Linked DNA regions of Drosophila melanogaster. The protein of the gene in region 1 purifies or fractionates together with the protein of each later gene. This does not show direct contact. Each region holds a gene or a part of one and is shown on either strand. Other genes may lie near its edges.

What was found. Proteins that work in one complex are often made in the same cells at the same time.
Region 2: the proteins of Mms19 (region 1) and Xpd purify together in Drosophila melanogaster (affinity purification with western blotting, with the first as the bait; one study listed by BioGRID). This does not show direct contact.

Annotation. Positions count from the first base shown.
Region 1 is NT_033777.3:5,230,416-5,234,169, reverse strand, and holds the start of Mms19 (Mms19), read right to left. Parts: upstream 1,628-3,754; 5' UTR 1,529-1,627; coding exon 1,444-1,528; intron 1,380-1,443; coding exon 996-1,379; intron 786-995; coding exon 436-785; intron 378-435; coding exon 1-377. Other genes in the region: Kat60 (katanin 60), read left to right, coding at 2,102-2,113, 2,857-3,177, 3,545-3,754. UniProt on the Drosophila melanogaster protein: Key component of the cytosolic iron-sulfur protein assembly (CIA) complex, a multiprotein complex that mediates the incorporation of iron-sulfur cluster into apoproteins specifically involved in DNA metabolism and genomic integrity.
Region 2 is NT_033778.4:21,169,410-21,173,163, forward strand, and holds the start of Xpd (xeroderma pigmentosum D), read left to right. Parts: upstream 1-1,591; 5' UTR 1,592-1,652; coding exon 1,653-1,657; intron 1,658-1,711; coding exon 1,712-2,169; intron 2,170-2,221; coding exon 2,222-2,352; intron 2,353-2,414; coding exon 2,415-2,635; intron 2,636-2,694; coding exon 2,695-3,076; intron 3,077-3,134; coding exon 3,135-3,416; intron 3,417-3,479; coding exon 3,480-3,754. Other genes in the region: hng1 (hinge1), read left to right, coding at 1-535; LSm1 (uncharacterized protein), read right to left, coding at 656-829, 892-1,076, 1,131-1,185.

The DNA.
Region 1 (3,754 bases):
TAATAGATCTTGATCCGCTGCTCAGAACTAGCATCTGCGGCCTGCAGCTTGAGCAAAAAGCTGTTGAGGATTTTGTCCGCTGCATAGGGCGCATCTCCCGATACACAAACTAAGGCGATCCCGGTGGCAGGATGGAAGAGCCGCTGATTGACATCGCTGAGATGCGGTAGAATTACGCCCAGAATAGAGCTCTGGTAGCTGTGGCTTATATCCGGTATGTGAGCAGCTCTCTCCAGGAGCGCAGACAACGCCTTAAGGGAAGCTTTCAGTATCTCCTCATTGTCATTTCCTGGAAAAGTCTCTGTTTTCAGAGCCTGCCATATCTGATCGAAGTGCGGCTCCAGAACGGAAGGCGGGAACTTCACGGCAGCTTGGTGCTGTAACAATAAATAGCATGTATAAAAAGAGGCATTTCAAAATGTTACGTTTTCTTGCCAGCAGTTCTATGGAGTCCAGTTTGGCAACCAGCAACTCACTCTCCAGCTTTTCTATGGCCAGTACCACTGTGCCCTCAGCGAATTCGTTGTTGGCTACCAGGCAGTTAGTCAACTTCTTGGACAATTCATCACGGGTTATGGCCGCTGGATCCTGCTTGCTGGGATTAAAGTCGATTGGAAAGTAACACGCAAAGATCTCAAACATCTCTTCGGCCAAATGCAGCAGCGGATACGTTGACAAGAACTCGGGCATGAAGCTGAAAATGATGTCAAGGTTGCGGGGGTCACGCTCGCCGTCAATGGAATTGATCAGGCCGTAGACGAAGTCACCGGCCATCGCTTGCAGCTCTGTATCGGGAAGAAAATTGATTTGTTTGAGTTGTAATATTGTGTAATATTTTCTAAAAATAACGGAAATAAAAGGTACTAAGATTGTCGCAAATATCTGTTCGACTAGTTAAAATCATCTAATTATAACTTTTTTGCACACTGACTTGTTTAAATCGGATTAAAGCAATGTCAATGTATCTTTCATGCTAAAATGAAATCAGGGCTCACCGTCCTGGAAGTTTTCCGTCAAGTACTGGAAAATGTGGAACAGCTTGGTGCGGTCGCTCCGCGTCTGCGACTGGCAGGTGGTGTGCTCGAAGAATGACTGCAGAATCTGGGGAATCTGGGCGCGCGGTAGAGCTTTCATGTGAACCAGGGCGTCGATTCCATCGATAATGGCTGGCATTACGTTGTGATGGTCGCGCAGGCGGTCCATGTAAAAGGTGCTGAGGAACTCCAGCTGCCGCTCTTGCAGCAGATCCTGGGGCAGTGCTATCAACACGGCGGAGAGCAAGTTGGTTCCGGCCACACGCTCCTCCATGTCCGGAGAGGACAGGGCGAAGCCCAGTGCCTCGGCCAGAGCAGATATGTCATATGCCTTGGCGGTCAGATCTGGAGGAAACAAAGAATCTCTATGAGAAGGGCACATTCGACACGGATGCGGGTGTAAACCTGCCCTTGGCTATCTGTGTGGCGGAATTCACAAGCTTCTGGTCGCTTTTCAGAGCCTTTTCCAGGGTGGCGCGCGTGGGCGTTGTCATTGCGGCACCGTCGCTTGAGTGGTGTCTAAATTTAAATGAGTTTAAGCACGTTAAGCCGAAATGTTAAGAACCGATAACCGATGACTTGTCGTACTGGCCTTATCTATATCACAGCGATGCCAGACTGGTGTTACAGTAGTGCAAATGTTTTAGCGATTAATATAGCTTTTATTGCAGTGGCGCTCAGGGATGGTAATGTGTGGCTCGGAGACAAATTCTAGAACTGGAAAATATACTTACATATTGTATATTGATTTATAATCGATAGACACGATACGGAGATTTTCTTTTTATTTTCTTGTAATTCGTTGTAAATTTAGAAATATATTTTTAGCAGCTCTGGAAACAATCGATAGTCGCCGACTGTTGCACACAGGGAACGCAACAGGGTGGTCAAGTGTCCGCGCCGATGTATCGATAAGCCCCGCATCACCAGAGCACGCACATCACTAGTATTACAAACACAGGCAGGCAGCAGTTTATTTTAGCTACCGCAGCACCTTAAACTCTGAATTAAATAGTTTACGCATTCATTTTGCGCTCGGAACGCCGCGTAACAAAGCTAGTACACTAATGTCCATAACCGTAAGTCGCCCGCGAACTGCTCAGCTGCAATTGTAGGTGTGCGGCGGCGAGACGTCAGCGCTGCTGTTGTTGTTGCTCTTGTGGTTGCTGCAGCTGCAGACGCCCCCACATAGCTGGAAATAAAATAAGAAGCATAAGAATAAGAAATACGGTGAAGTGTCGAATGCAAAGTGCAGTTTGCTGTGTCCAGAGGCTTGCAATTAACTCAAATTCTATTTAGATCGCATTAATTCGACCCATTGTGCGCCCGTGTGCGTGTGTGCGAAAGTGTGTGTTGTGTGCCGCTGAAACCTGAGCTGAGTGTGCGTGTGTGTGTGCGAGCGTTAATTTTGTTGTTTTTACTATTGTGTTTTTTGTTTTTTTTTTTTTTTTTGCATACGACGATTTGAGTCGAGTTGAAAGAATCATTCAAAGCCAACAAGGTCGAACGCCTTATTCGGCTCATAACTACCTAATACATTTTCCAATCGGCATTTGGCCCACGTCCCGCCTTGGAGGCGGAATTGAAAATCGGAGCGCGTTGCGTTTAAATTTGGTGACAAGTCGGCGGCTGTGCGCCTGATAATTTATAATTAGCAGCTCACTTGGGTCGTTGCCACTGGCATCTTCTATTATTCGCAATTGTCGCCGGGTTTTCCACTTTATTCGCTTCTGGCTGGGAGGCGCACTTTCCATTTTTACCTGCAAGGCGAGCCAGCGAATGACGAAGTCGCTTCCGTTCTATTGTTCCCCTTCCCACCCAGCAACACTTGGAGAAACTCACGCACTCGAGCGCTTTAATTGGAACTAATCTCTGTCTCTCGTTTTTGGCTACAATGACGACAACCTGTTCCGATCGCCAGTTACTGCGAGGTGGCAAGCAAAAGACAACCACTTGCGTAGGAATGACCGTAATGGCCAAGACTACGTTTGAAGAAATATGCGAGAATGCCAAATTAGCACGGGACATGGCTCTGACGGGCAACTACGACTCAGCCTGCATCTACTATGAGGGCCTCCAGGGGCTGCTCGCCCGCCAGCTGAAGGCCACCGCGGATCCGCTACGCAAGGGCAAGTGGAGCATGGTAAGACATTCCTATCACCACCTCCAGATACTGTCAACTACCATGCCAATGAATGCGAATGGTGACGGTTATGACAAACAAAGGACTTAGTCATAACATCTTGTCAACGCCATTCAAAATTGCCCAAGAGGTTTTGTGTAAACGAGTTATCTAGATCGTTAACGTGCATATAAAGATTTAATTTAATCAGAACACTACCGAATGACTAAAATTTGAATTACAAAGTAATTTCTAGCACTACTGGCACAAAGTAACTGGCTAAAACTCCAATAGATCATAATAAACCAAGTATTTTCAAAAAGTTTAATATTTACCATACCGGACGATTTCATTGACATCATTTAACTAACTGATCTTCGATTTGCAGATCAACCAGCAGATTAGCCAGGAGCACGCCAAAATCAAGGCCATTCAGAGAACCCTACAAGACATCTCGCTGGACCTACAGTCAACCAAATTTGCACACAAGCTGCGACACCAGCTCAGCGAAGAAAGCACCACCAGTAAAGATCCATCTGCCTGGTTCAAGCCGGACCCCGACATTTGGACGCCTCCGCCCAAGGATCCAGATGTGTGG
Region 2 (3,754 bases), on another chromosome or scaffold:
CTTGATCGAGGAGCAAGGTTCGCACGCCTACGATGAGGGCGAGGAGCAACACGACTACGACGCTAAGCTGGAGTCTCATACCACACAATCGGAGACGTATTCGGTGGTCGTGGAGGCGGACGATGGGCAGGAGCCCGAACAGGAGAGCTTCGATGAGTTCCTGGGGGATGCGGAGTGCGAGCAAAAGGTCAAGGTGGTCACAATTCATCCGGAAATCGCTGCTCCGAATGCGACGTCCGCACCTGAGCCTATTGAGTCTAACCACGCGGATCTGAACTACTTGGTCTGTATGCCGCCCAATGCGAATCAGGAGCGAGAGCATTCCGCCCCAGAATTACCCAATCCCACGGCCGTCATCACCCAAAAGACTTGCGAAACAGAGGACGACTTCTTTTGCAAGTCGATTGCCGCGTATTTGCGCCAACTGTCGCGCGTGCACAAGATCAAGGCCAAGGTGGAGATGTACCAGATTCTAGAGAAGTACATACTGCTCGAGGAGTGCGGAAAGGGGTCGGGTGCGGGCGGATCAGGCTAAGCAGGTTGCATGCAATATGTACATAGGTTTTAACATAGTTTTTTAATGCAGTACAAATATACAAAGAGACGAAAATCTTTTGAGCTTAATCTAACTTTGTGCTTAGGAAAAAATGGAGTCTTAGCAGAAGTCCTCGTTGATTATGTTGGCATCTACGGCCAGGCCTCGTTCCTTTAGTGCCTTGGATACTAGGCGGTGTTTCTCCTGCCGCTGCTCCTGTTCCCTACGCTGGGCGTCCAGGATTTCATCGACGGATATCTCTTTGAGTGGCAGTTTCTGCTCCTTTTCACGGTCCTTTTACGCATATTTAAAGGGTGTTAATCAGTCATATTGAAAAAGTATCGAGTAAAGCTTACTATTTCGCCCAGTAGCACCACATTCTCCCCGCGAATGATGAAGACTCCGCGAGGAATGTCGCCGTATTCGTTGCCCACATGTATCCGCTCGATGGTGCGTTGCAGCACCAGGTTGGCGAACTGGTCCACGGACCGCAGGTATCCAATCAGAGTCCGTCCGTCTCTCAAAAGTACCATCAGTTTCTCTGCAATGCGCCGGTTTTCAACGACTGGCCTTCCTTTCATTCGGATTTACTCACTGTCAACCTCTTCCAGGAGGTGAGCCGTGCCCGCCAGCGGATTTAAGTCGTCCATGCTATGAAAATATGTGGGATTTAGATAAATAAATAAACTGAAGCAACTAAACTTTGGTCTAAATTTTAGTATTTAATATTAATGTAACCCTCGCTGAAGGGTTTAAAAAACCACAATGCTCTAGAAAAAAATACTAAAAATATTACTACACTGTTCAACGAAACTTATAAGATATTGCTTACTGAAATTGATGTTTTTAGTTTTAAAATGCATAGATATTAAATAGTTATTATTAATTTTCAAACAGTTAAAAATAAGATTTCTGCTCTAACATCAAATATTTTTACGCTGTTCACAGAGTTACAAAATAAAAAGAAGTTGACCAAAAAAATATCAAAACTTGTACTCAATCCATGCAAATTTTTCACAGCCCCATCGATAACGATGGTACAAATTCTATACCTCGATAGTACCATCGATAGTTTGCCGGCACAGGGAATTGTGAATTATCCCGGAATAGGCGAATAATGAAGTAAGTGGCAGAACGGGATAAATGAAAGTACTCCTTTAACAACCCAGTCCACAGGCTCAGCGTGGACGGCCTGTTGGTGTACTTTCCGTACGAGTACATCTACCCGGAACAATATGCCTACATGCTGGAACTTAAGCGTAGCCTGGACGCCAAGGGCCACTGCCTGTTGGAGATGCCCTCGGGAACGGGCAAGACGGCCACGCTGCTCTCCCTGATCGTTGCCTACATGGTGGAGCATCCGGAAACGGTGCGCAAGCTCATCTACTGCTCGCGTACTGTTCCGGAGATCGAGAAAGTGATCGCCGAGCTGCAGAACCTGATGGTTTACTACGAGCGCCACTGCCCCAATCCACCACCCTTCACCGGTCTGGTGCTCAGCTCTAGGAAGAACATGTGCATCCATCCGGAGGTCAGTAAGGAGCGCGAGGGCAAGGCCGTGGACGGTAAATGTTACGGACTCACTGCCAGCTACATTCGCGAACGGCACGAGATGGACACCGAGACGCCCATTTGTAAGACTATTGTTATCCATATGTAACCATTATTTCAACTGCGAACTTGTAGGCCAGTACTTTGAGGGATTTAGCCTGGAAGGCAAGGAGTCCACATTGCCGGTCGGCGTCTACAGCATCGATGATCTTAAGGAATACGGTCGGTCGCGCAACTGGTGTCCCTACTTTTTGGCTCGCTATGCTGTGAGTTTTTTCGTTTGAAAATTTCAAGACTAGATTTGACTATATCTTGCATTCTTTACCAGATTGCCCATGCTCACATTGTGGTATACAGTTACCACTATCTATTAGATCCGAAAATTGCCCAGGTGGTATCTAAGGAAATGAGCCGCGAGTCCTGTGTGGTCTTTGATGAGGCGCACAACATCGACAACGTTTGCATCGATTCGATGAGTGTGAAGATCAACAGACGCACCGTGGAGCGAAGCACGAATGCTTTGAACCATCTAACTAAACTGGTTCAGGAGTAAGTTGTTCAGGATATGCGACTGGTTTATGGCCAAAAAAAACATTCTTAATCTACAGCATTCGCGAAGAGGACACAAATCGTCTGAACGAGGAGTATCAGCGCATGGTGCAGGGTCTGAAGGATGCCAGTGTGCAGCGCGACACGGACATGATCCTGGCCAATCCGGTCCTGCCAAACGATGTCCTAACCGAGGTGGTGCCCGGAAATATTAGGAACGCCGATCATTTCCTTAGCTTTCTGCGTCGATTCATCGAGTATATAAAGACAAGACTGCGCGTTCATCATGTCGTTCAGGAGTCACCTGCGGGCTTCCTTAAGGATATTTCCTCCAAGATTTGTATAGAGAGAAAGCCTCTGCGTTTTTGTGCTGAGCGCCTGTCCAGTCTGCTGCGCACGCTTGAGATCAGTGATTTGACGGAGTATGGAGCCCTTACACTGGTGAGCTTTCAAATTCCATACAAGGTAAAAGCGATATTAATGCTCTTTCTATTTTCAGATTACACACTTTGCCACCCTGGTGTCCACCTACACAAAGGGCTTCACAATCATTATAGAACCCTTCGACGATAAAACGCCGACTGTTTCGAATCCCATTTTGCACTTTAGTTGCCTAGACTCTTCCATTGCCATGGCTCCGGTATTTTCGAGATTTCAAACCGTGGTCATCACTTCTGGCACATTGTCACCCATGGACATGTACCCGAAGATACTCGATTTCGATCCAGTGGTGATGAGCAGCTTTACCATGACACTAGCCCGTCCGTGTCTTCTTCCTATGGTAGTTAATCTATATAATCCAACAATCAGTCATCACAATTATCTGAATGTTTATTCCAAACAGATTGTATCGAAGGGCAACGACCAGGTGACCATTTCGTCCAAGTTCGAGACGCGAGAAGACACCGCCGTCATTCGAAACTATGGCCAGCTTTTGGTGGAGGTGGCAAAGACAGTGCCCGACGGTATTGTATGCTTCTTCACCTCCTATTTGTACTTGGAGTCTGTGGTGGCCTCTTGGTATGATCAGGGAATCGTCGATACCCTGCTTCGCTACAAGCTTCTATTCATTGAGACTCAGGACAATGCCGAGACCAGCTACGCCCTGATGAACTATGT